3 linked regions of the Ovis aries genome follow. The protein of the gene in region 2 binds, or shares a complex with, the protein of the main gene of each other region. Links are inferred from orthologs where the notes say so. Each region holds a gene or a part of one and is shown on either strand. Other genes may lie near its edges.

Region 1 (8,183 bases), on a different chromosome or scaffold from region 2:
TACTCAGTTTTCATTAGACAGGTAGTGCTAAAAATTTTAATAGCAATAATCCTTATCCTCAGCAATATACCGCTTTATTTAAAAACATAATGTGAACAGCAAGTCTTCTCTCCACGGGACCAAATGAAAGTGAAAGTTCTATAAGGCTTTTTCCTAGCATTCAAAAGATGTTTAATTAGTAACTGTTGACAAATTTTCTCTTTCCAGAATCAACCTTGACTTTAAATTCTGGGCCTTCTTTCCAGGCCACTTATGAAATGGCTCCTTCCTTTTTAACTATGGTCCTACTCAACTCATAGCATATCAGTATATCTGAATCCATGCATCTAGGAAGAATACAGTGCATATACTATAAAAAGCATTTGGTATATTCAGATTTACTACAGGTAGTATATCTGAACCGGTACTTCTAGGAAGAAAAAAAGGTCAAATTATCAATCTTCAGTACTTAATATAACAGTACTCTTTTATTACGTCCAAGAACCATTTTTTAGTACACACAGTTTTAGTAGATAAGGTATGAATTTACCTAAAACCCCTAATAGACACAACTGCTACTGATACAGAGTATTTTCATTGTCTTAATAATACTCTGTGTCCATCTATGCATCCCCTAACTAGCTCCTAATTCCTGGCAATCACTGATCTTTTTACTGTCTCCATAGTTTTGCCTTTTCCAGAATGTCACATAGTTGTAATCAAAAAGCATAAAATTGCCTTTTCAATCATATTTCTGCTTAAACTCAGGCTTCTATATCATGAGGAAAACACCTGCAGTAAATGCTTACCACAAAGGTAAACACTTCTATGCTCTTAAGAGCATCCTTAATCACCTTATGGAATGTTCAGAAAATAGTTAACATGGCAGGCCTCAGAATGCTTATTCTTAGAAAGGCTGGTCCTTGGCTGGCCTCTAGGGACTTGGATTTTGGGATAGTTTCCACCCACCAACTGATAAGAATACTCACTGCAAATAAACTTTATGCAAATAATATGGTTCATTCTGAATACCTGCTTTCTCTCTGGCAGTCTGAAATTCTGGGACATGCAAGACACTGGGTGCCTACATGGCTATCCCCCAATAGGAAGCTTGGATGCTGAGATTCTAATGAACTTTCTCAGTATGCAACATTTCACACATGTCACAATTTATTGTCAGGGGACTTAAGGGGATCCTTTGTGCCTAAACTAGGAAAGGACTCTGGAAGCTTATGACTCATTTTCCCAGGCTTTGTCTCATGTATCTCTTCCCTTTGGGGATTGTGTTTTATATCTTTTTGATGTAATAAATCCTGATTGAGATTACAACACTGAGTCCTATGAATCCAGCTAGTCAATCTGGGGGTTACCTTGAAGACTCCAACATGGGATATTAGAGCCTTGCCATCACTTCAAACTAACCCTTCCAAAATGTAATTACTTCTCTTTTCAAAGTTCACTCTCCCTCCTAATTTATCAATTTCTGTCCATAAAATCACAGTTCCAGTAGTTACCCTAGTTAGAAACCTCAAAGCATTTTAGCTCCTTCTTACTTTCTCTTATCAGGTCCAATTGCCAAGTCCAAGTAACGCTCCACCACAAACTCTCAATATAATTATATTATAATATAATATAATCTTAGAACACTACTTCGATCATATCAGATCTGCTACTCTAAAATATTCAAGATCTTCCACATTCTAAAAACGAAATCCCCAGGAATTCCCTGGCCATCCAGCAGTTAGGATTCAGTGCTTTCACTGTCAGGGGCCTGGATTCAACCCCTGATCAGGGACCTAAAATCCCATGCACCAAGCAGCACAGCCAAAAAAAAAAACAGAAAAAAAAATTCCTTAGCCCAGCATTCAAAACCCTTTATCTCCTAAAATCTGACACCCAAATGTACGATCTCCAATTATGGGAGGAGAAAAACCAACAATACTTTATAGGCCATTAATTACTGGTTTCCCCTCAACAACTATTTGGGAGCATCATCTCTTTTCTTATACTCAGTCACCCTCAGGGCATTACTTTAAGTCTTAATTTACCAAAAACATGACCAGTGAGAAGCACCTGTCTCCTCTACTGTCTCCATACTACAAAGATAACTGTATTTGTATACTCAAACATTTCCGTTCTCTTGTTCAAAGCGAAACTGCTACACTTGTACTCTTGGCCTCATCTCCTACTAGACCTTGCTCTAGCAATTATCATCTTAAACTCCTGTATGAATTCAAGCTAAGGCAAATATGAGTTTCAGCTAAAAACAAGAATGGATAGGTACAGATTTTAGAATGGAGAGTATTGATTTTTTTGTTAATACATTATGCTCCAAAGCCAGGCAAAAAAAATCACTGAAATAAGGAATAAAATAATAAAACTGCAATTTTTATATTTGTTAAAAAATTATTTAGAGGCAAAATACCAAAAAAAAAAAAAAAAGAAACTCTCAAAAATTAAAGCAAATTTTAAAAATCTGTGAGTACCTAAAAACGGCAAAACTGTATCAATAGATAACTAGAGGGTTAGAAGGGAGAAACAAGTGACAACTGAACCTTTAATATATCTTAACAAGGACTGCAAAATTAACTTAGTAAAGTACCAACTTCACTTACAATGTTTTAGAATCATAAGGTACAAAGAGCTTACACAGAAAAGCTCTCTCCTTCCTATGCCATCCTCTGCTTCACCTTCCCAGAAGCAACCTGGTAATTTCTCCTTTATTCTTGCTCACAGATATGCTAATATAAGCACTATGGTTGGTTATTACTTATATCTTTAACTTAAGTTGCTATTACTACTTTTAAGTATTAACAAAATATAGCTCACATACAGTAACACACTTCTCACTATGACCTATCCTGAAATATCAAGGCATCCTTACCAAGACACACATTACCTATAGACAAATTTAAAACAAACAAACAAGGGGCTTCCTTGGTGGCTCAGTGGTAACGAATCCATCTGCCAACGCAGGAGACACTTCAATCCCTGGTCCAGGAAGATCCCACACGCCACACAGCAACTAAGCCTGTGTACCACAACTATTAAGCCTGTGCTTCTGAGCCCAGGAACTGCAACTACCAAACCCACAAACTGCAACTACCGAAGTTCATGTGCCCTAGAGCTTGTGCTCTGCAATAAGAGAATCCACTGCAATGAAAAGCCCTCACACTGCAATGAAGAGTAGCCTCCATTCGTCCCCAACTAGAGAAAAGCACAGGAACTAAGACCCAGCATGGCCAAAATGTAAGTAAATAATAAATAAAATTATAAAATAAAAACAGTAAAACAAAGCTTTGCAGCTTAAAAAAAAAGGCAACCACATGAAACTGCCTCTAATAATTGGTGAAATATACTTTCCAAAGCCAAAAATGTCTCACCTAAAGAGAACAGGGTATGGATCATCCCTCTCTGGTGGACCAGTAATACGTGCCATTGTTGGGAAAGACTTAACAGGAGGCTGGATCATTGTATGAGGTGCAGTTTCCATTAAATGAAAAACTTCCTCTAAGAGGTTAATCAGCTTTTCTATTTCTCCTTCACTTATATTTGAGGATTCCAGAAGATCCATATCCATAGAAGCCTCTACCTCGTTTTCATATTCTGGGTTTGTTCTCTCAACTCCAGCATCTGTATCATGATCAGGTTCGCTGTGGTTAGGAACAGAAGTCGTCTTCTCTGCTAAATGGTCACCAAGTCTTTTAATCTCTGACAAAATTTCATAGAAATGGCATTTCTGAAGAATAGCTGAACCAGCAGTGACAACCCTCACAGTCTGATCTAAAAGTATGAGCTCCAGAAGTTTCTGATAGCCACTTTTTTCACTCTGCCTACTTCTCAAAAAAGCTTCCATTCCTTCTGTCATACTAATGACACTGTCCAAAGCTTTAAATGCATTTAACTTAAGGGAAGATGAGACATGATCAGCAAACAGGAGCTCAAATAAGCCACTGATCACTCCTGCTTGTAGCAGTCCCGTGACTCCTTGGGTCCCACATTCTGCTAGTGAGGACACTAATTTGGTCCCAGCTTTGAGCTGTCGGACATTTAAGGCAATGGGTTGGCGAAGGGCTACTTGTAAATTTAAAGCTTGCATGGTCCAGTCTATCAACTGGCCAAGGGCATCTTGTTTTGTGTTTTTCAACTGCAAATAACTTAGTCCTTTTATTATTAAACTTGGAATTTCTTCTAAAGCTGTTACCCATTTTGCACCTCTATCTTCTTGATACAAATCCAACAGTTCAGTTAACTTCACTGAGGCTTCTACTGCCCCTGAGTTTTCTTTATCTGGACCTTGATCCTTCATCCTACTGATTTCGATTTCAAAGGTAGTCTTGTACGGACAGCTGAAGTGTAAGAGTGGTACCAGCTCCCTATCATATGGGTCATATGTCATAGGAGGGACTGAAGCTAAGTCTTCAGCAGTGTATTCGACATCGAAGTTTGGATACTTGAATGTTTCACGTTCCAAGTCAGCAATTCCATCTTCATCACTGGAAATCTGCTCATAACCATCATCCCCTGAAAATCAGTTTAAATAATACTTAGTTGTTACATCATTGTTGTTTAGTACAAAACAATCTGGTTACTCAAAATAAATTATTTAGTAACATGGCAAAAATATGAAAAGTAATGATCCTATCAACAGTATTAACTTCTGCCTCAATATCTTATCAACACTTATTAACATTTTATAACTCCTAATAGAACAATTACAGAGAAACTTCATAAGCAAAGTCTTCTATTATATCTGTTCAGCTTTACAATAACTCTGCTATAAATCTTTTCCTCATAGAACTAAAATCAGAAATGTCTCAAAAAAATAAAAAAGAACCAAAAATACCTCTCAGGAGGGAAGAAATTAAGCTTGCCTTGTGAGAGAGTATTTTTAAGATGGAAAAAATGAATTGATGGGCCAAAATTATTAAATTAACTAAGACTTAATACTGTAATTACCAAGTTACACCAAATATTGTCAGGAAAAGCATTCTAGAATTTCATATTCCTTCACTTCTACTACTCTGTGTTTACCTGTTACCCAGTTCCCAGTTCTGTATCATGTTTTTATGGAAAATGTTTATAAAAGTACCCATCTTTGCCAAAACAGAGTTTTCATATCATGACACGTGCAGCTTTCCCTCTATTCAGTAATAGAAGACTAGAGACAGAAAATCTGTTAGTTTTAAATACAACTGTTACCTGGCTGTGGTAAAACAGAGATGAGTAACAACAGCCTAAGAAAGAAAAGGAAATGTTTCCACGGTACTCCTCCAGTAACAGCCCTCTATGGACATTCTTAAGCTCTAAACAACTTAGCCACAGCAATACACTCATATTTGAAAAGAAAGGGCCTAAAACACGAGGACGGGGGAGCCTGGTGGGCTGCCGTCTATGGGGTCGCATAGAGTCGGACACAACTGAAGTGACTTAGCAGCAGCAGCAAAGAGACTTGATTCGAGACTAACCCCCAGATGTCTTTTGGTAAGAATCAAATTAACCAGCCTCATTCTCTTATCCTCTCTAAAAATGTCCTCTGATTAACAAAGCCTGCCTGAAATCTAACTACTACCAAATGCAGTAAATCTAAAATTTATTAGATTTATTGGTATCCTAGAAATGGGGTCAGTTAAAAGAGTTATCACTCAATAACTCAATTACTTGTATTTTGTAAAAGGGCCCCTATAATACTGAAATGGTTCTCATTCTCATGTAGAATGACTCTCCTCTTTAATATCTTATAGAACAAAGCAGATGATCTGTCATTTTACATAAATACTTTAACATTACACTCCATTTACTCAACAAATTAAGAGTCAATTAGCTTGAACAGCTCTTTTTGCTTTCAAAGGAAAAATAAGACCGAACTAAAAGACTGCATCAGGCTGCCTTATGTCCTTCTGTAATTAAGATTTTTTTCTCCTTGTGCATGTCTAATAATAATTAGATATTATTATTCAGCCAAAATATTGAGGTGACAGAAATCTTTGGGGATTCTAGGCAGCTTAAAACACCACTCCTCTGAAGACAGATCACCAAATCCCTAATCACCATGTATTTGCTGCATATCCTCGCTTCCCTGGGAAAAGCCAATGGTATCAAGGGGAAGCTGATACCACAGCAAGGCAAACAGAATCTCTCTCCCAGAAAACTGGAAATGGATCTGAGACACAGGCAGTTTAAATTGGTTGGTTAAAGAGAAGATATTAAAGATGTGGGGTAACTAGAGACATAATAGTTAGTTAAAAAAAAAAAAAAACACCTAAATTCATTTTTCTAACTAAATAACAGATAAACAAAGCAAAGCAAAGATGGAAATCCTCAAGTCTAGTCAAGTCTCAAGGCCCAGCTGACTCTTGGGTTTCTTGAAAGCCACTTGTGTCAGCTATAAATTTTTCTGCATTGCTAAAAGCTACATCAAGCTAGTTTCCAGCACTTAAAAGCAAGAAGTCCTAGCTAATTCACCCACCTTCACCTTCTTCATCTTCTTCACCTTCTTCCTCTTCATCCTCCTCTTCCTCCTCAGGGATACTATCTACTGTATGGCGATCATCTTCATCCTCATCCTCTTCTTCCTCTACATCCACATCATCTTCATCATCTTCTCCTTCTTCTTGCTGTTCCTCTTCTACCTCTCCTTCATCAGAATATTGACTTTCCTGGGGAACAGAATTCCGATCAGGAGAAATGGGTTCAAAGTAATCTTCTCTATGAGGAGCATCCTCTTCCTTGTCACCAGACACTGAAAAATTGATATTTAAGGCACAGATTATTTTAACTATTTAAATAATAAGAGGCAGAAGGACTGGATATTGTAACTATTTAATATTTTGGATGATTTAGCTCATAAACACACTTTAAAAAAAAGTAGTAGAATTACTTGCTCTTAAAAAATATTAAGGAGGGGGGAGGGAAAAAAAATATTAAGAGTAAACACTGCACAATTTTCTAGAGTGTGAATTAACAAAGTATGCTATTTTATGTTTTTACACAATAATCCTCTTTTTTAGCTATTAAGTAACTACAGATTTTTATCTCTTCCAATACATACAGGTTATTTTTACTGGTGCTTCTCTGTACTGTCATTATAGTACATTAACATTTTATTTTCAAAGCAATGTTGCTTCAGTTTCAAATAAATTAACTGATTTCTCTTTTAAACAAATTCACTTGCCAACAACAATAACAATAAAAAAAAAAACCCACAAGAAAACACTGCTCAGAATGGGGGTGGGGGACATTCATCAAGATTTGATTACCAGCATCTATTTTTTTTCCTCTAATAAAAAAGTACTATTATATTACCATTAATCAAGAGAGGAAAAAATATTATTATTTCTACCTGGCAACGGCATGGGATCATCTTCATCATCATCAGGGGGCGGGGGTCCTGGTGGAGTTCTTGGTCCCCTTGGCTGTGGTCTTGGAGGGCTTCCATTAAACTGATCTTCTTTCTCTCCATCAGCTGATTTTATTAGAAAAAGAAAAAGAACTTTAAAATTATTAAAGTTAGTAATATAAATACATGACAGAATTGCCATTGATCATTTGGGTTTTCATCCTCAGAATTTATTAACTTTTTTGTTCCTGATGTCTAACAGAAATTTTGCTAATCAGTTTATATTGGGAAAGTTAAAATTTCTGACATCCCATACACCAAAATATAATGTACGGAACTCTTAGGAATTATCCCAGAGAAATGGAGACTTATTTTCTTGCAGGAAGATGTACACAAATGCTCATAAATAACTTTATGTGCTAAAGTCAAAAACTAGAAACTTACCTAAATGTCCTTCAATCACTGAACAGTTAAATAATACATCCATACTATTTATTACTACTCAGCAACAATAAAGAATGATCTGATACACAGAGAAAGTAGATAAATTTCAAAGAAATTACAGTGAATGGAAAAAGCCAATCTTAAAAAGATCCCAACTTCATGATTCCATTTTGTAACATTTATGAAATAATACAATTACAGAGACAGAGAATAATGATTGCCAAAAATAGGTATAGGTGGGATGAGTGTGGCTAGAAAGGGGTAATACCAGGGAATACTGTGATAGTACAATCAAGCATCTTAATTGCAATGATGGGTATGCAAAAGTATACATGACATAAAATTACACACAGCTACACATATATACACACACACATGCACAAATACATATACAAACTGGTGAATGTGAACAAGCTCTGCA
Region 2 (8,133 bases):
TCAATTAACATCAATATACCAATTTGATGGTTGATCTAATAATCAGAAAAGTGTATTTTTGTTTCAGGTACTTGAGATTTTTCCACATACTTTTTTTTTTTCCATTAACGTTTTTTCAAAAATAAGTTTACATGGTTTTTCCAAAAAGTCGTATGAAACATACCCTTCCAGTACATCAGAACAAAGCCAAAAGCAGCTCTGTATACTTCATATCATAAAATGACCTATTTCAAGTTTTAAAATATGGTCAAATTATCTTTTCCATTTGTATTAGTGTTAGTCTCTTATGCAATAACTTGAGCAAGTGGTTTTTTACAGGGCAAAATGAATATTAAGTAGTTTCTTACAATCTTTGCAACTGATCATTTTCTCCAATACTATATATTATACTTTGAACAAGCATGTCACTTTAGAAATACTAACATTCACCCTGCTGGTTAATCTCCAAAAACGTGAAATTTTGCTGTAAAAGTTGTATCGACGTGGAAAATTCTGCAGTCTCCCAAATGTGTCATCATTAGGTAAAAACTCACCTAGGCAAAATAGTATTTATGCTTTCATTTTATTGTTTTTAAGAATTAAACTGCCACCTCAGTAGTCTTTTAAGAGCAATATAATGAAACATACATACATTTAATTTAGACTTACGTCCATCATAGCTTCAAAGGCTTCCCTGAAATAAGGCTGGGATTCACATCTTTTTCCTTAAGGAAAGAAACACTAACAGTAATTTTGTTATCCTTCTACCCACCCACCCTCATTCAAACAATAACTAGATGAATTCAAGTCTAACACCATTTAAAAAAAAAAAAAAAAACCTGCCTGCTACAACATTTATCTGAACTGCCTCCCTGCATAACACATATTTCTTTAACCTAACCAAAAAATTTTAAAGCCTACGAGACTTAACGTGGAATTTTACCGTGATAACATTTGTTTGTTCAATACATTCAATTCTAGTGAATTTCAATTAAATCAGGTGAGCTCTTCATAAACAGCTGAGAAGCTTTAAAGTGAGTTTTGTTATTTCCTATTACATGAAACCAAATTATTGGTACTGAATTTTCAATAATATTTTAACAGCTCCAAAGAGGGCCATTAAAGGTAATCAAGTCTGCACCAGTCCAAGTACCTACAGTAATATGATAGACACACTCACCACCATTTCACACTATTTCACTCCTATGCTTCTAATAACAATTTCTCATTAGAAACACCGCATTAACACTGAACTCTCAAATTGCTAGGTGTGAAAAATCACGTACTTTCACTTAAAGAAAAAGTGTATTATTTTCAGCTGGTCATGGTTGAAAGGGCCATTTATATTATTTCAGCTCTAAATTTATAGATGACTTTGCATCAGATTATCCAAAGTGAGAAACTGCTTTGCCTGTTCCTGACAGAATTAAATGGTAAATTAGCCATCAGTTCACCTCTTGTCAAAAAGAAATGTTCTAAATTTATACACTACAAACTATTTAATAATAAATGGTATCTGTATACTACACATTTCATGTTTATGTTATGCACCATTTTAGGGGGGAGGAAGTACTTCACAGGGGTGTATTCAAAGGACATATAGTAATATCCTAAGAATGTTGATTTATACATATGAATTCTGTATAAACTGTAAGTGGTCATCTTAGCTGGACTGTAACAAGCCCCTAGAATGCAAAAGCTGACTCCGAAGGCACCTTATAATGCATTGAAATTCACAATTTAGACATTACTTTTCTCTTCAATAGAAAATCATCTGGTAGTCTTCACTGTTGACTCTATGCTAAAAAAATGTTCCAAGTTTTAGACTGCTTAACCAATGAAAGAAACAGGAAGTCAGTAATAGTTTTTAAATGTTAAGTTAGAGAAAAACACCTTATCATACAGTAATGAAACCTGAGCAACGCAAGTATGTGATTACAAGAACATCCTTCATTAATACAGTATTCAAATTCCTCCATGGCATTCAAATTATACTTTAAAACCCAATAAACAAGAATCCACTTAAGCACAGGATCAAATTCTACCATGAAATGAGGAATTACATAAAGCCTATTCAGCCCAAAATATTTAGTTTCAGACAATGAGCAGAGAGGAACACACTTCATCTAAAGAATACCACTTATACAGTTCTATAAAATGTTACTTAAGGTTAATAAGTGTGATGCATATGACTCCAACCATTCGGTAAAAAGCATTAATGAGTAACAGCATCCCCAACAGCTTGGAGCCTACAGAGTTGATTACTTTGGCCCTATCTTTCCAAAAATACAAGCAATGCCTCTTAACATTACAGACATAAATATTCTTAGTACTGGAATTTCAATGTATTTTGGTGCTCCTGAGGCTGCCTATAAATGAAAAGGCATCCAAGTGAAGTGCATTATATACCTAATATACCTCAAAATTTCAGTGCCTAAAATGTGAAATAATTTTCTACCATTTAACAGTCTGCCTTACAGTAAATTCTATTAGATTTTTACTTTTAGGATTTTATTGTAACTTTGGGAAATTAGTGGTAAAACATATGGTTTAAAAAACAGTATGTGGCTGCACTTAAGTTCACATAAAAATAGTATTTTTACAACCATATTGAAGTTTAATCCTTTTACACAGGTTAACAAAATGTATCACAAGAAAAACTTAAACATTGGGTTTAACAAAAGACGTACTTTTGAAAGTGGAACAATGGAAAAATGTTTTCAATTTTTTTTTTTTTTTTTTTTTTTTACAAATGGTCACCTCTGGGTCAATTTACCACACTAGGGGAACAAAGTTCTTAAAATATAGCTGTGCTCAACTGAGCCACTTAACTGCACTACAGTATAGTACTTGAAATCAATCCTAAGGTCAAGATTTAAAACCATTTTAAGAGACAAGACCCTAAGTGTTGTACAGCCACCTCAGCAAGAGGCGCTTTTCCTTCCCCGAACAGTCAAAGCTTAAAGAAAAGATTGACTATACATATAAGTTTTGTTTCCTCATCATATCATCAGTTCAGAATACTATTATCATTGGTAATACGGTCTATATCTTGTCTGATCTGGATGATGTGGTCCAGGTAGTGGGGTTTGAGAAGGCGGACCCTGCATTCGTGGAGGAGGAGGTGGCCCTCTCGGTGCAGGCCATATACCAGGACTCATTCCCCCTGGTTGTGTAAATGGAGGGCTCAGAGTTCCTTGATCTTCAGTGAACTGGGGTAAAGAGTTGGGATTGTAATGGTGAGGAGGGGGTGCAGTTACAGGTGGACCACCATGTTGAGGTGGGGGAGGTCCTGGAGGAGGATGATTCATATAAGGTGGCATCTGGGCAATAATATGTCCAGGGGGAGGGGTAATTGGTGGTGGAGCAGAGGTCATTGGTGGAGGTGGAGCTTGGCTGTACACCAAGTGAGGAGTACCTGCGGCCTGGGGAGGATGTGGCATTGGATGGCTTATTGGTGGTGGAGGAGGTGGGGGTGGTGCATAATGTTGCTGTGGAGGCATAATATGATGAGGGTGCGAGACCACTGGTTGACCCTGATATTCAGGATGATGGTGAGCAGGTGCGGGGGCAGGAGGTGGTGGTTCTCTAGCACCTGGATTTGAGTCATCCTGAATAGGGACAGTTATTAAATTGCTGTGTTTTCTTGTTGAAATACGAAAGGTTTCCTGACTGACTGAGCGAGGTGGAGGAGGAGCCATGGACAATTCAGCTGGAGGAGCACGGATATCCTCGTGTGGCTGATTATAGTGCTCGTGGGGCACATGTTGCAAAGGAGGTGGTGGCATCATGATGTGCTGCTTTGGCGGAATATGGCTCATATGGTGCTTGTCTGGCGGCATGATAAAACGATCGGGGATTTCAGCTGGTGGTGGGGCAATAGGAGGAGGATGAACATTTTCAAGTGAAGCCCGGGTAACAGGTTTTCCAGCTCTCATATGGCGGTGGTTGATATGAGCCTGTAAGTCTCTCTGAGACAAGTATGTTCTCTTGCACCCTTGAACAATGCTACACATGAAGAGAGAACCTCGTGTACACTGCTCAATTCGCTGCACAGGATCACTACAGCTAAATCAGAAGGGGAAAAAAGTTTGATTTACTAAAAACAGACTATAAAAATAATGCACTAAATTTCAAAGATATGACTAGTTTTAAATTTTATTATGGAAAACATTGCAAAAAGTTCACAATTAAAAGTTATAGTTTATGTAAGTGAACTTTTAATCTTTTCCACTTTGTGGTTTGTTTGCTATTAAGCATCAGCATTTCTGTCAACATCAAAATTCTTAAGAAAAAAATTTAAAGTGTTTATCAAACAGAGTAGGTTTGAAGCAAAACCCTTTTCTTACCAAGATTTAGAATTTATCTGATTTCACAAACAATTCTATGTTTTGAATCCGTGTGCAAAAAACCCCAAAACTCCAGGAAGGGCAAACCAAAGGATCTTGTCAGAATCACAAAATGCAAACCTGTAGAGTATTTATTGACCAGTAAGCAATTTTATGAGCAAATAATACTACGTAGAAGATACTAAGTGAAAGGTGTTGTAAGAACTACAAAAATAAACAGGATCATCCTAACGATCAAGGTTCTTAATATTAAACAATATTTCAAATTCAAACCATGAATGCCAAGAGTCCTTTCAAGGAGGGAGTCTTCCTGAATTGTCAGACAAATCTACTACTACAAAGTATTACACACTCCTACTTTTCTAAATTATAAACACTAAATTTAACTCAATTATTTTCTTAATAAGTCAGGGTCAAATTGTAACTATTCTTCATCTGCTGTTTTTTAATCCACTTTTGCCTTTAGAAGGCTTCTTGAAACAACAGAAAGAAGACTGAACTAGGAATTGGAACTGGGACCTAGTATTGGCTGAGATCTTGGAGAAGTCATTTAAACTTTGTTTCTTTATCTGTAAAATGGGTTATAACATCTAATCTAACTCATAATGCTTTTATATAGACTTCACCCTACTTAAAAGAACATTTGAAACATCAATGAAACAGTGAAAATGACAGGACTTAATGATTAGTTAAGCACTAAACACGTATAAGCTATCATCATTGAATATGTGGATCCGGTCATATGACCTGTATCAAATGGCTCCATATTCTTGATTTGGAGTGGTGGCTGGTGTTTCTTCCTCACTGTAGGCTGGTACTACTTCTTCATACTTAGGAGGCTTCCCTTTAGTGGCCATTTGGCACACTTCTCATTTTTTGCTTCTAATTTGCTATAAACTCTGAAATAGCTCCACAGTAACAGGATTGGGAGGTGGGGTGTATTTCTTTGGGTGAGGCTTAAGCATTAGTATATAATATTTACATTAATTAGGGTTGTCATTTCTTCACTTTCTGACCCAGGTCTGTTAATCCAGATAAGCTTTTGTTTTAATATCCCTAACAAGCCAACCAGTGATATGCTTACTGAAGTTACACTGAAAAACTTGAAAACTAAATTCCCTTTTAAATATTAACATCAAAACACTTACATAAAAGAGAAAACCTTCTGATGTCCTCTACATGGTGTTTTACAACATCCAAAATCCCTTATCTCAATGAGGCAATCAAATTTACTATAGAATTTAAGCGGATGTACACTGTGTTGGAAAATCAGGCACTACAGAAACTGAGGCAAATAGTGAATATGCACTATCAATTTCCTAATTCTTTTGAATTATAATTCTATTGAGAAAATATTCTTTAAACTCACACTATAAAATTTATAATATATGACTTTAAAGGGCTAATAAAATATGCTAAGAGAATTACTTCTTACTGGTTTGTTAATGAATCTTCATTCTCTCCCACAGATGCTAATCTTCCTACACCATAAAAGAAAACTATCCCTTACAACTGTCCACAATTTTATTATCAACTAATATTACAACCCTTGGGATAGGTTCTAACTTAGGTTATAAGTGACCTAGAAAGCCTACAGTTGTTCCCAAAGAAGTTTCTCTCAAGGTTTTTCTTAAGTCTTCTATCAGGGGTTCTGAATTGATATAAAAATTCATAGTTTATTCTGGATCCTTACTATTCCCAAAAAGATCACTATCGATCAACACCTCCCTATGGTCTTAATTTGTCTGAGCCTGTCTTAGAACATGAAGGTGTTGTAAGATGTACTCAAGACATAATCAGATTTGAAGTCAATAAATAAAGAGATTATACTTACATAGTACTTGCTATCTGCTACTCATTTACTTCTAATAATAACCCAGGGAGGTAAGTACTATTATTAGCTCCATTTTACAGATAAAGAAATCATGTATGTGACAAAATAAATCACAAAATAAAGATTTGAATCCAATAATTCTAATTCCAGAGTCTTTGCTCGAAATCACTACATGATACTACCTGTCTAGCATCCCATTAAAATAAGAAAGTATTTTTGGTTTATAATGCTAACTTTGTGATGTATTTATTATTGTTATTTTGGCCAATGTGAATTAACTGATAATAGCTAATTAGCCCTATCCTAAGGAGAAGGTTATAGCCAACTCTAGGTTCACAGAGAAACATTTGCCAGGTCTACACACTTGACATCTTGCCAACGGTCTATATCATATCCTCACCTTTAACCTAGATCATAAATCATTATATCACAATCCTTATTATTTAAAAATTTAATGATGATCTTACCCCGGACACATCTTATCTCCCTTTTTTTCATGTAAAATAGCACAGTCATAGCAAAACACATGCTTGCATGGAATCTGCAAACAGAGACATGTTACAGTTAATATTCTAGAGCAAATTAAAATATTTCAATAAAAAGCAACAGTGAGCGCAGTGACCTAGACATGGAAGGTACTTGAGAACTGTTGGTTAAAATGAACATATATTAAGTACTAGTTACATAAAAGCAACAGTTAACCTTCTTCAGTCACAAAGCTCTTTGTGAGAATGCAATGAAAACTTTGGCCCTTCCCCAAAAAACATATACATGCACATTCATGGTTCCTACAGGTTAAAAGCTCCTGAAGAATACTGTACAACGTTTCACCTAATCCTATTATCTCCACAAAGTATTTCATGGCAGTGAAAGAATACGTATCCTCTACATTTAATATAAGCAGCCTTCTTCCCTGGTAGTCTTAAGTTAATGAACTTACAAATATTTAAAATAAATCAGAAGGACACAGTAAAATAATGTTACACTATTTTAAAACTCACAATTCATTACTGTTACTTAGTTATGCCACACAGCAAAGCAACAGTGCAGAATCCACGGCTTCTACCACCACAGATTTAACAGTAAATTCAATTTTTTTCCAACAAAAATGTAAAACTATCTTTTCATATATGAAGATTACTATAAAATTACAGTACTTTAAGTGCTTAGAATACCCAGAAATCATAAATAATATTTAATTCCATTTTATATTAAAAATTCTAGCCTTTAGAAATAACTGATTCTGTTAAAGAAAAAATTTTTTTCCTTAAGGATCAAACCATTCAAAGAAATTAGTTTCAGAATTCGTTTCCTTAATTAATATTTTACAAGCAATCCAAGAATCTGTCAAGATAATTTTATTAAATGCATATTATCCCCAAACTTTCCTTAGCTATTTTATACTTATTCATTATAAACTTTATTGTTAAACAATAATAAATCTATCTACTTAAATTTCAGAGTCCTCATCTCTACACAAATATATAAATTTATAAAAACAGAATTTAACTTAGTTATACTTACCATTCGCCCATAAATTTTAATAGGTAATCCACATTTGTCACAGAAATGAACTGGAGTATCATCCTTTTCACCTAAGATATTTATCTGTTGAAATGATATAATTAAAATTTCCTTAAGCATTTCTAAAAATTATGTCTATAAATTACACAATGAATTAGTTAGTATAAAAGTTACTAAAACAAAACAAAAAAAAAGTTACTAAAACAATTAGAAATGAAGATCTTTTGGTATAATACCACATATGCCACATTATTTGGGCAACCATCAGTTTTGGGTTTTTTCCCCCTTTGACAGTGTTATTACTTATTGATTTTACTTGACATCACTGAAAATTACTTCAGATTATTTTCAGAAATATGGCATTAACAAACGATTTATGGGTAATGAAAGATATAATTATAATAAAAGTTCATACTATTCTTTATGCAATCTAAATTGTCCTAATAA
Region 3 (8,183 bases), on a different chromosome or scaffold from region 2:
TTCATGGCTGCAGTCATCATTCCACTATAAAATGAACTCATGGCTTGCTTCACTGATTCACATTATATACCTAATTCCTTTTTTTTTTTTTAAAAAACTATACCTAATTCCTATATGCACTTTATATCACTGACTTCAAATTTAATTTTTTAGAAGCATTTTTGGAAAAAACCTACCTTATTTGATTTCATTGTTCATCAGCCCCTCTAGTTACAGAAGAACTATAACACAGACTCAAACTGATCATTTTAATATTTTGTCAAATTCTAGAAAAAGGGTTTACAGAAAAAGAACATCTAGATTAAATGAGGTAGTATTTTGTCTGTGCATTATACCTAACAATGTTCATATGAGTAATTGACTGGGCATCTTGAGAGCAGAAGCAAATGTGACTTTTCAGAAATGGGAGTCTTCAATGGGCTCAATTTGCCAGATAAATGTTCTAACCTCCTGGGGAGTCCCAGGTTTATAGCTTAAAAACTGACAGCATATACTTAAGTCCCTATCACTGAACATCAAAGATAATGCTAATGTCCTATATGGACCCCAAGATTATACAGGACTGTTCCAAGAAAAGCCTTTCTTATACACAAAAGCGTATGTTTTTAACAGCGCACTCAAAAAGAGACTTTCCGATCAAAGACTATCATTTAGAATGAATCCCAACTGGGGTATCATTTTGTCAAGTTGATAAAAATTATACCAAATCAATAAAATCTAGAACTATAGACTAACTCTTACGTTCTTAAGTTCAGAATGAAAAAAGTATAGGTTTTAAAAATCAGGTGCTGTAATCAGAACATTGTAAGTTAACGACTAAAATGGGTAGAAAGTATTTTAAGAGACATGCAAAGGAATCATTCTCAGTTACAGTGTGCTGTCCCAGGCATCCAACCATTACAATCCCATCAATTTAAAGTGAAACTGTGGCACAGCAATTACTTGGTTTACAAATAAGAGAGGTATGTAGTTTTTATGAGCTAAGGACTTATAGGAGGTAGCTCTTCTACTTACCAAAGTATTAGCTGGTGCAGCCCTGATTCCCACTCCAACTCTGGTGCAGCCCTGATTCCCACTCCAACTCTGGTGCAGCCCTGATTCCCACTCCAACTCTGGTGCAGCCCTGATTCCCACTCCAACTCTGGATATGCAGCCTGTGGAGTCTGACTCCACACTTGATTCCCCACTAAAAAGCTCGACGCCTCGTGCACTGTGCTGTCTCATTCTACACTGCGACTGACATCACAACAATTCCCTGGTCTAATATGGTTCAGTAGTATTTGGGTACGATATTCCCCACCACGAACTCTGTTCTAGCTGACCCAGAGCAGGAACCAGACTAGAGTCCTATTTAAAGGACAGAATCACTCCCTAGCTGGTGTGTCTAAGGACTCCCACTGGGCAACTGAGTATCTATCTTCTTCATTCCCAGGTCACCTTTAACAAATAGAGTTCTCTCTATTAATTACTGGAGCTGAAAATGTACCACCATTTCAGTAAAAATTCTAACGAACAGTTCCACATCATATCTACATCAAGAAGAACATTAGTCAAATGCTACCTGTACTAGAAAGGTCTAACAGGTTGAGCAAGTAAAATTCATCACGCTTTTAAGGATCTCAAGCATATTCCTATAATTCAGTCCCTATCTTCAAACTGAGTCTTTAAAGGATATAACATAACCTCATTTTATGAGCCAATACACATAAAGGACTACTCACAGACCAAGAGAATAGTCTCATCTGAGGTCAATCCTTTTTCATTTGGTAATGACAATTCCACTCACAGAAAAGAGACTCTCGAAGTTCAAAGGTTTAAAGTTTCATTAGAAAAATCATACATAAGATAAAAAATATGTTTATCAACAATAATGGTATTATTTCATTTAGCAGATTCATGCAAAACATGAGTGACAGTATAGAAATGACCATATAAAATTTCATACAACTTATCTGGAAAACCAGTCCCTTAGAAGGCAACTGCAGTTCATTTTTCCAAGCTCTCTTCTTAAGTTGAGGGTTTTCTGTAATTGGTTTTACCTTTTCTCCATAACAAGTTTAAAGATGCATGTTATTTTCCCATCACCAAGTACTTTATTCCCCAAAATGTTTAAACCAAGCACCTGATAACCAGGTGTATCTGTTGCTTTTATTCTTTTATTTTGCTAAGGAATATGAAACTGCTTTGAAAGTCAATCCAAGATCACACCAAAGTTTTATTGTCCTTAGCTGCTTGGCTATTTGTCCTCGTCAGCTTCTTAGGAAGCATGAGTAACAGTCATTGGTAGCTGCACAACTGAGATTATAATGAGCACTTTTCCCCTCTTTGTAAAAGTATGTCTATGGGCTCTACTCCTCTCTGCCCACCCAGTGGCTCCACCTCCCTGATCAGATTTAAACCTGGGAGGAGGCTTTTGTTCCAAGTCTCTTAATTTCTTCTGTGATCAAACTACACGAGTTTACTTAAGATTTTTCAAAAAGAAAGAAAAAAAGTCTCTTTTATTGTTTCAATGAGAAAATGTTGAAACCCTAAGAGAAGTTTACCATCTGTCCCAACTCCACTCGATCAAGCCTGCAAACAGCTTCCCATTTGCTGTGACAGCAATGGTGGGATGCCCATGATCAACTACTGTCAGCACCCGTATGATACTTCAGACTGGGTCTTTTTCACTGCTCACTTTATTCCTAAAAAGCAAAAGCCTTTGTAATTAGACTAAATTCCGTTTCTGAAAGCGAAGGTATTTGTGTTGTTCCACTCAGGTTACATGCACAGGACGAAAGCCAGGATGACTCACTTACCCTGAATAAAACGTGACAGTGACAACTGCAAGGGAGGTTGATTAAAATATTCCTGTAGCTTAGAGAAACTAAAGCAAAGTGCAAGCTGGAACAGAGTTCTAAACATCTCCTGGGTGAAATTCAAACTATCGGAAAGAAGGTGAAGGGGCATTAATAGGATCAGTGACCTAAAAACTATCGAGGTGGAAAGCCACCTCTGTGTGCTCCTCCACGGCCCCCCCTGAAGCCACCTCTTTCTCCTCGGAAGTTAGATCGATTTCTCTCTCGCCCACGGCCAGCAGAAGTGCCACCTCTTCCGCCTCCTCTGGGAGCTCCACCTCCCCGATCAGATTTAGATTTGGGAGGAGGTGATTTTGGTCGAAGTCTCTCAATTTCCTCTGTACATCCAGTCAAATAGGAATTCGGGGCACTGAAGTAGGATGCATACGTTTCTGCATTGTAGTTACTATTTGTAAGAGTTGGTCCAACTGTAAGCCACCCTGAAACGGAGGGAAAAAACATTAACCTTTTTCTTCCCCCCCAATTCTCTTACTTATCTTTAGGAGCCATTTCAAATCTCCAGTGTATTTCCAAAGATGCCCCTATCACTTACCCAATATTGATATTTTACATAGAACATGTGGCATTTAACTATGGTCTTTGATTTCATATATATATTTGTTTTGTTTTTTCCTTTTAAAAACTTTTATAATATAATCGTCATTTCCATCCATATTTCTGTGAGAATAGGATTTAGAAAATATTAGACACTACACTGAGTTCTGGCTTAGTAAAAATTTATTAAATTTTGTATTACCTTCCTACTTGTAGAAATGGTTCCAGTTTTCTAATTAACATCCTGGAACTAACTTTTGCTTCTTCTCTTCCAACCACGCTAACCCAGCTGGCAGGTCTTAGAAATTCAACCTACTACCATGCTGCTTCTACTTGTTACCATCTTTCCATTTCTGCTGCCACCCTTAGAGTTTTTGTTTTTCTACTAGTTTTGTCCCCTACACATACAACAGACATACTTGTATACGGTAATGCTTTCCCAACCTCTCCTCCTCTAAAAGTGGAAAGCCTAAAGCAAAGCTGAAACCACATTCCTTCTCTGCACAACCTTCTGGGCTTTCCACTAAGCCAGAATTCAGTAACATGGAATCGGAAGCCTTATATGATAAGGTCTGAACTAGCTTTCTAATCGCACTGCTGAAACAATGAACCACTACAGTTAACTGTTTGCACACTGATCTCCACCTTGTACCTATAATTTTTTCTATCCTGTCAACCTGGTGAAAATTCCATCCTTCAACATCCACTTTAAACATGTAGCTTAATGAAATGAATTATCTTTCTGAATTTCCATTACATATTATATTTCTACAGGTAAAAAGGTTTTGTCAATTTCATTGCTAGATAATTTTCCTTATAAGGATGGTTTCTGTTTGATTACATTGTATCTGCAACAGGAAGAACTACAAATTAACTGTAAATGCCTGATGGAGACCACGTGCTTTGAGGTTCCCTGCATGTGGCAATTCCTGATCATTAGGGCAGGTCGAGGAATCTCTAAGAATTAGGTTCTTTACCTGAAAAATTAATCTCACACAATTTCTGCCTTATCAAGATAATCTTAGACTATTCAGTTCAGTTCAGTCACTCAGTTGTGTCCAACTCTTTGTGAGCCCATGAATCACAGCACGCCAGGCCTCCCTGTCCATCACCAACTTCCAGAGTTCACTTAGACTTGCATCTATCGAGTTAGTGATGCCATCCAGCCATCTCATCCTTGGTCATCCCCTTCTCCTCCCGCCCCCAATCTCTCCCAGCATCAGAGTCTTTTCCAATGAGTCAGCACTTCACATGAGGTGGCCAAAGTACTGGAGTTTCAGCTTTAGCATCATTCCTTCCAAAGAAATCCCAGGGTTGATCTCCTTCAGAATGGACTGGTTGGATCTCCTTGCAGTCCAAGGGACTCTCAAGAGTCTTCTCCAACACTACAGTTCAAAAGCATCAATTCTTCGGCGCTCAGCCTTCTTCACAGTCCAACTCTCACATCCATACATGACTACTGGAAAACCATAGCCTTGACTAGACGGACCTTAATCGGCAAAGTAATGTCTCTGCTTTTGAATATGCTATCTGGGTTGGTCATAACTTTTCTTCCAAGGAGTAAACGTCTTTTAATTTCATGGCTGCAGCCATCATCTGCAGTGATTTTGGAGCCCCCAAAAATAAAGTCTGCCGCTGTTTCCACTGTTTCTCCATCTTTCCCATGGAGTGATGGGACTTAGACTATTAGGTCCATGATAAAATGGAAAATATTTTACTGCAGTCACATTCTAAAATGTAGTAGCCTTTTTTTTGTACAAAACTGTGTTCATCATTTAAATCGTCTAACAGTGCACAGATAAAATCTGTTACTATCTGGAGAAAAATAACAGATAAAACCATATGATGCTTTTCATGTCCCATCAAGTAGACACCTTGATAAAAATGAGATGAAAGAATACACTGCACACCTATGTGGTCTCACTGACAATTGAACCTATGAGACTTTTACTTGCTTTTGGTTTATTTTCTACTATACATATGGTGCTGTGGAACACAACACACAAGCAAGAGGTAAGAAAAAATTCGAAGATTTAATAAAAATAGTTAATATTGTCTCCTTCATGCTATATTGCCCTCCATAAATAAGACATAAACCTTTACAAAGTAAACTGCAAGGGACACTACCTCCCACTCACAAATTCTTCACTGCAACAGTGTTCTATTAAAATTTTGAATCCTTAATTTCTAAGAACCAAGTAACTTTAAATTAGCCCGGCTTCAGTGAATATGATACATATATCAATTTTTAAACATTTAAAGCAATAATAAAGACTATTCCTCTGGAATGTGTTATATACCTTAGACTATCTCCTTGAGGAAGAAATGTATTTGAGGATTTGACCCAAATAAATTATAGCCTCTTGAACAGACTTCTCTCAATTGCTCCTATTATTATTTACATGGTTAACTTTCTACTACATAATTTTCCAAAGTGGATATTCTTTCTTAATACTAAAATAATCTGTGCAAGAATGGGCAAAGATAAAGAATCAGATAGTAGTTTACAAGCAAAAAATAAAATCTAAATCTCTAAGACTTTGTACAACTGGTATAGATATAGACAGAAGGGTATCAGAGATATAATGTATAATATAAAGTGGGTAGAGTGGCCATACCTAAATGAATGGAGAAAATTCCCATTATGTTATAGTTATAGAATATTATAAATACAAACTGGCACCAAAATTTGTATTTTTATTTCAGTTGCTGTTTAGGTTTATATCTATAGCTATACTTAATAATTATCTACTCTCTCTACTCCTTAGGTTCTTCCACTCACATTAAAAAAAAAAAACTTAAAATAATGCTATAAAGCCATTAAAAGCATTATAATTACTTAAATGTAGAAATAATTTTGACATATATTTTGACATAATATTGAGAAAAATACAAAATGATGAATGACACAGTTATGTAAAAATTTGTATGCACAAGAGGACTGGAAAGTATTATGCAAAAAAATAATACTTCTTGGAAGTAGTGAGGTTGAATCTTTTTCCCTCTTGAAAATCTTCTTTAATGTTGTTACACTGACTTTTCAATTACTAAAAAAGATTACCATCTGTTTGATGTTCCCTTTTATTGTTCAAATAGCTTTGCTGTTTTCTTTACAGTTTTCTACTTCCTTTAAATAGCAGTTCCCACTGGAGATTGTTCCCAGATTCAAAAACTATTTTTGAGTACAAAGGTTAATGATGGAAGATAAAAATCTGTTCCTTATTTCCTCAAACACTACAGCCATAATCTTAATATTCAATACCTATGGACATCTACACTTTCTGAAAAACATACAACTCCAGCTGAGCATCTAGTCATATTACTTTCTTTTAAGCCAGTGAAGAGGAAATATTTGCTTGCCACAAGCTCTGTTGCCAAAATATTTTACTTTGATAAGAGAGTAAAATCATCTACTAAACCTCTAAACAAGATGTTCATGTATATGTACAGCAGAAGTCTCAACAACTCAAAGTTCATTCTGTAGCTGTATATCTAGTATGTGTGTAAAACTCAGGCATGACTGTATATATAGAGAAAAACTGCCTTTAAAAGACTAAAGAAACGATGAAGTTTAAACCATAGCCTTCCTACCCTTTAAAAAAAAACCCAATATGCTACTTTAATTTAAATTTAATAATTCAAGGGTACATGCTGCAATTTCCAAGAAAACCAGTGAAGGAACAATAAAAGAATATCTAACAAAATAAAAAAGAAACACTTGAATAATATAAGAATTCTTAATCCAAAAGAAATGAGAGAAAAGGGGACACAGAACAGGTTGTACCAATGTAAAGCAAACATTAAGGTGGTCATAGCAAACACCCTCTTCCAACAATACAAGAGACAACTCTATACATGGACATCACCAGATGGTCAACACCGAAATCAGATTGATTATATTCTTTGCAGACAAAGATGGAGAAGCTCTACACAGTCAGCAAAAACAAGACCAGGAGCTGACTGTAGCTCAGATCATGAACTCCTTATTGCAAAATTCAGACTTAAATTGAAGAAAGTAGGGAAAACCACTAGGGCATTCATGTTTCACCTAAATCAAGTTCATTATGATTATACAGTGGAAGTGACAAATACATTCAAGAGATCAGATCTGATACAGCATATAGAACTATGGACGGAGGTTCCTAACACTATACAGGGAGGCAGTGGTTAAAACCATCCCCAAGAAAAAGAAATGCAACAAAGCAAAATGGTTGTTTGAGGAGGCCTTACAAATAGCCAAGAAAAGAAAAGAAGCAAAAGGCAAAGGAGAAAAGGAAAGATATACCCGTCTGAATGCAGAGTTCCAAAGAAGAACAAGGAGTAAGAAGGCCTTCCTCAGTGTTCAATGCAAAGAAATAGAGGAAAATACAATAAGACTAGAGATCTCTTCAAGAAAATCCGAGACACCAAAGGAACATTTCATGCAAAGATGGGCACAATAAAGGACAGAAACAGTATGGACCTTACAGAAGCAGAAGAGATATAAGTGGCAAGAATACACTGAAGAACTGTACAAAAAAGGTCTTAATGACCTGGATAACCACAATGGTGTGATCGCTCACCTAGAACCAGACCTCCTGGAGTGCGAAGACAAGTGGGCCTTAGGAAGCATAAATATGAACCAAGCTAGTGGAGGTGATAGAATTCCAGCTGAGCTATTTCAAATTCTAAAAAGTGATGCTGTGAAAGTGCTGCACTCAATATGCCAGCAAAGATTGAAAACTCAGCAGCGGCCACAGGACTAGAAAAGGTCAGTTTTCATTCCAATCCCAAAAAAGGGCAACACCAAAG

The links.
Region 1: CBLL1 (region 2) and VIRMA share a complex: the UniProt entries of both Homo sapiens proteins name them as parts of the WMM complex. The link is inferred for Ovis aries from reciprocal best matches to the Homo sapiens genes CBLL1 and VIRMA.
Region 3: CBLL1 (region 2) and METTL14 share a complex: the UniProt entries of both Homo sapiens proteins name them as parts of the WMM complex. The link is inferred for Ovis aries from reciprocal best matches to the Homo sapiens genes CBLL1 and METTL14.

Annotation. Positions count from the first base shown.
Region 1 is NC_056062.1:82,719,539-82,727,721, reverse strand, and holds part of VIRMA (protein virilizer homolog), read right to left. Parts: intron 7,445-8,183; coding exon 7,322-7,444; intron 6,722-7,321; coding exon 6,449-6,721; intron 4,504-6,448; coding exon 3,363-4,503; intron 1-3,362. UniProt on the Homo sapiens protein: Associated component of the WMM complex, a complex that mediates N6-methyladenosine (m6A) methylation of RNAs, a modification that plays a role in the efficiency of mRNA splicing and RNA processing.
Region 2 is NC_056057.1:50,282,706-50,290,838, reverse strand, and holds part of CBLL1 (E3 ubiquitin-protein ligase Hakai), read right to left. Parts: intron 7,771-8,133; coding exon 7,687-7,770; intron 6,704-7,686; coding exon 6,630-6,703; intron 4,048-6,629; coding exon 3,009-4,047; 3' UTR 1-3,008. UniProt on the Homo sapiens protein: E3 ubiquitin-protein ligase that mediates ubiquitination of several tyrosine-phosphorylated Src substrates, including CDH1, CTTN and DOK1. Targets CDH1 for endocytosis and degradation.
Region 3 is NC_056059.1:7,018,360-7,026,542, forward strand, and holds the end of METTL14 (N6-adenosine-methyltransferase non-catalytic subunit), read right to left. Parts: intron 3,278-8,183; coding exon 2,973-3,277; 3' UTR 1,806-2,972; downstream 1-1,805. UniProt on the Homo sapiens protein: The METTL3-METTL14 heterodimer forms a N6-methyltransferase complex that methylates adenosine residues at the N(6) position of some mRNAs and regulates the circadian clock, differentiation of embryonic stem cells and cortical neurogenesis.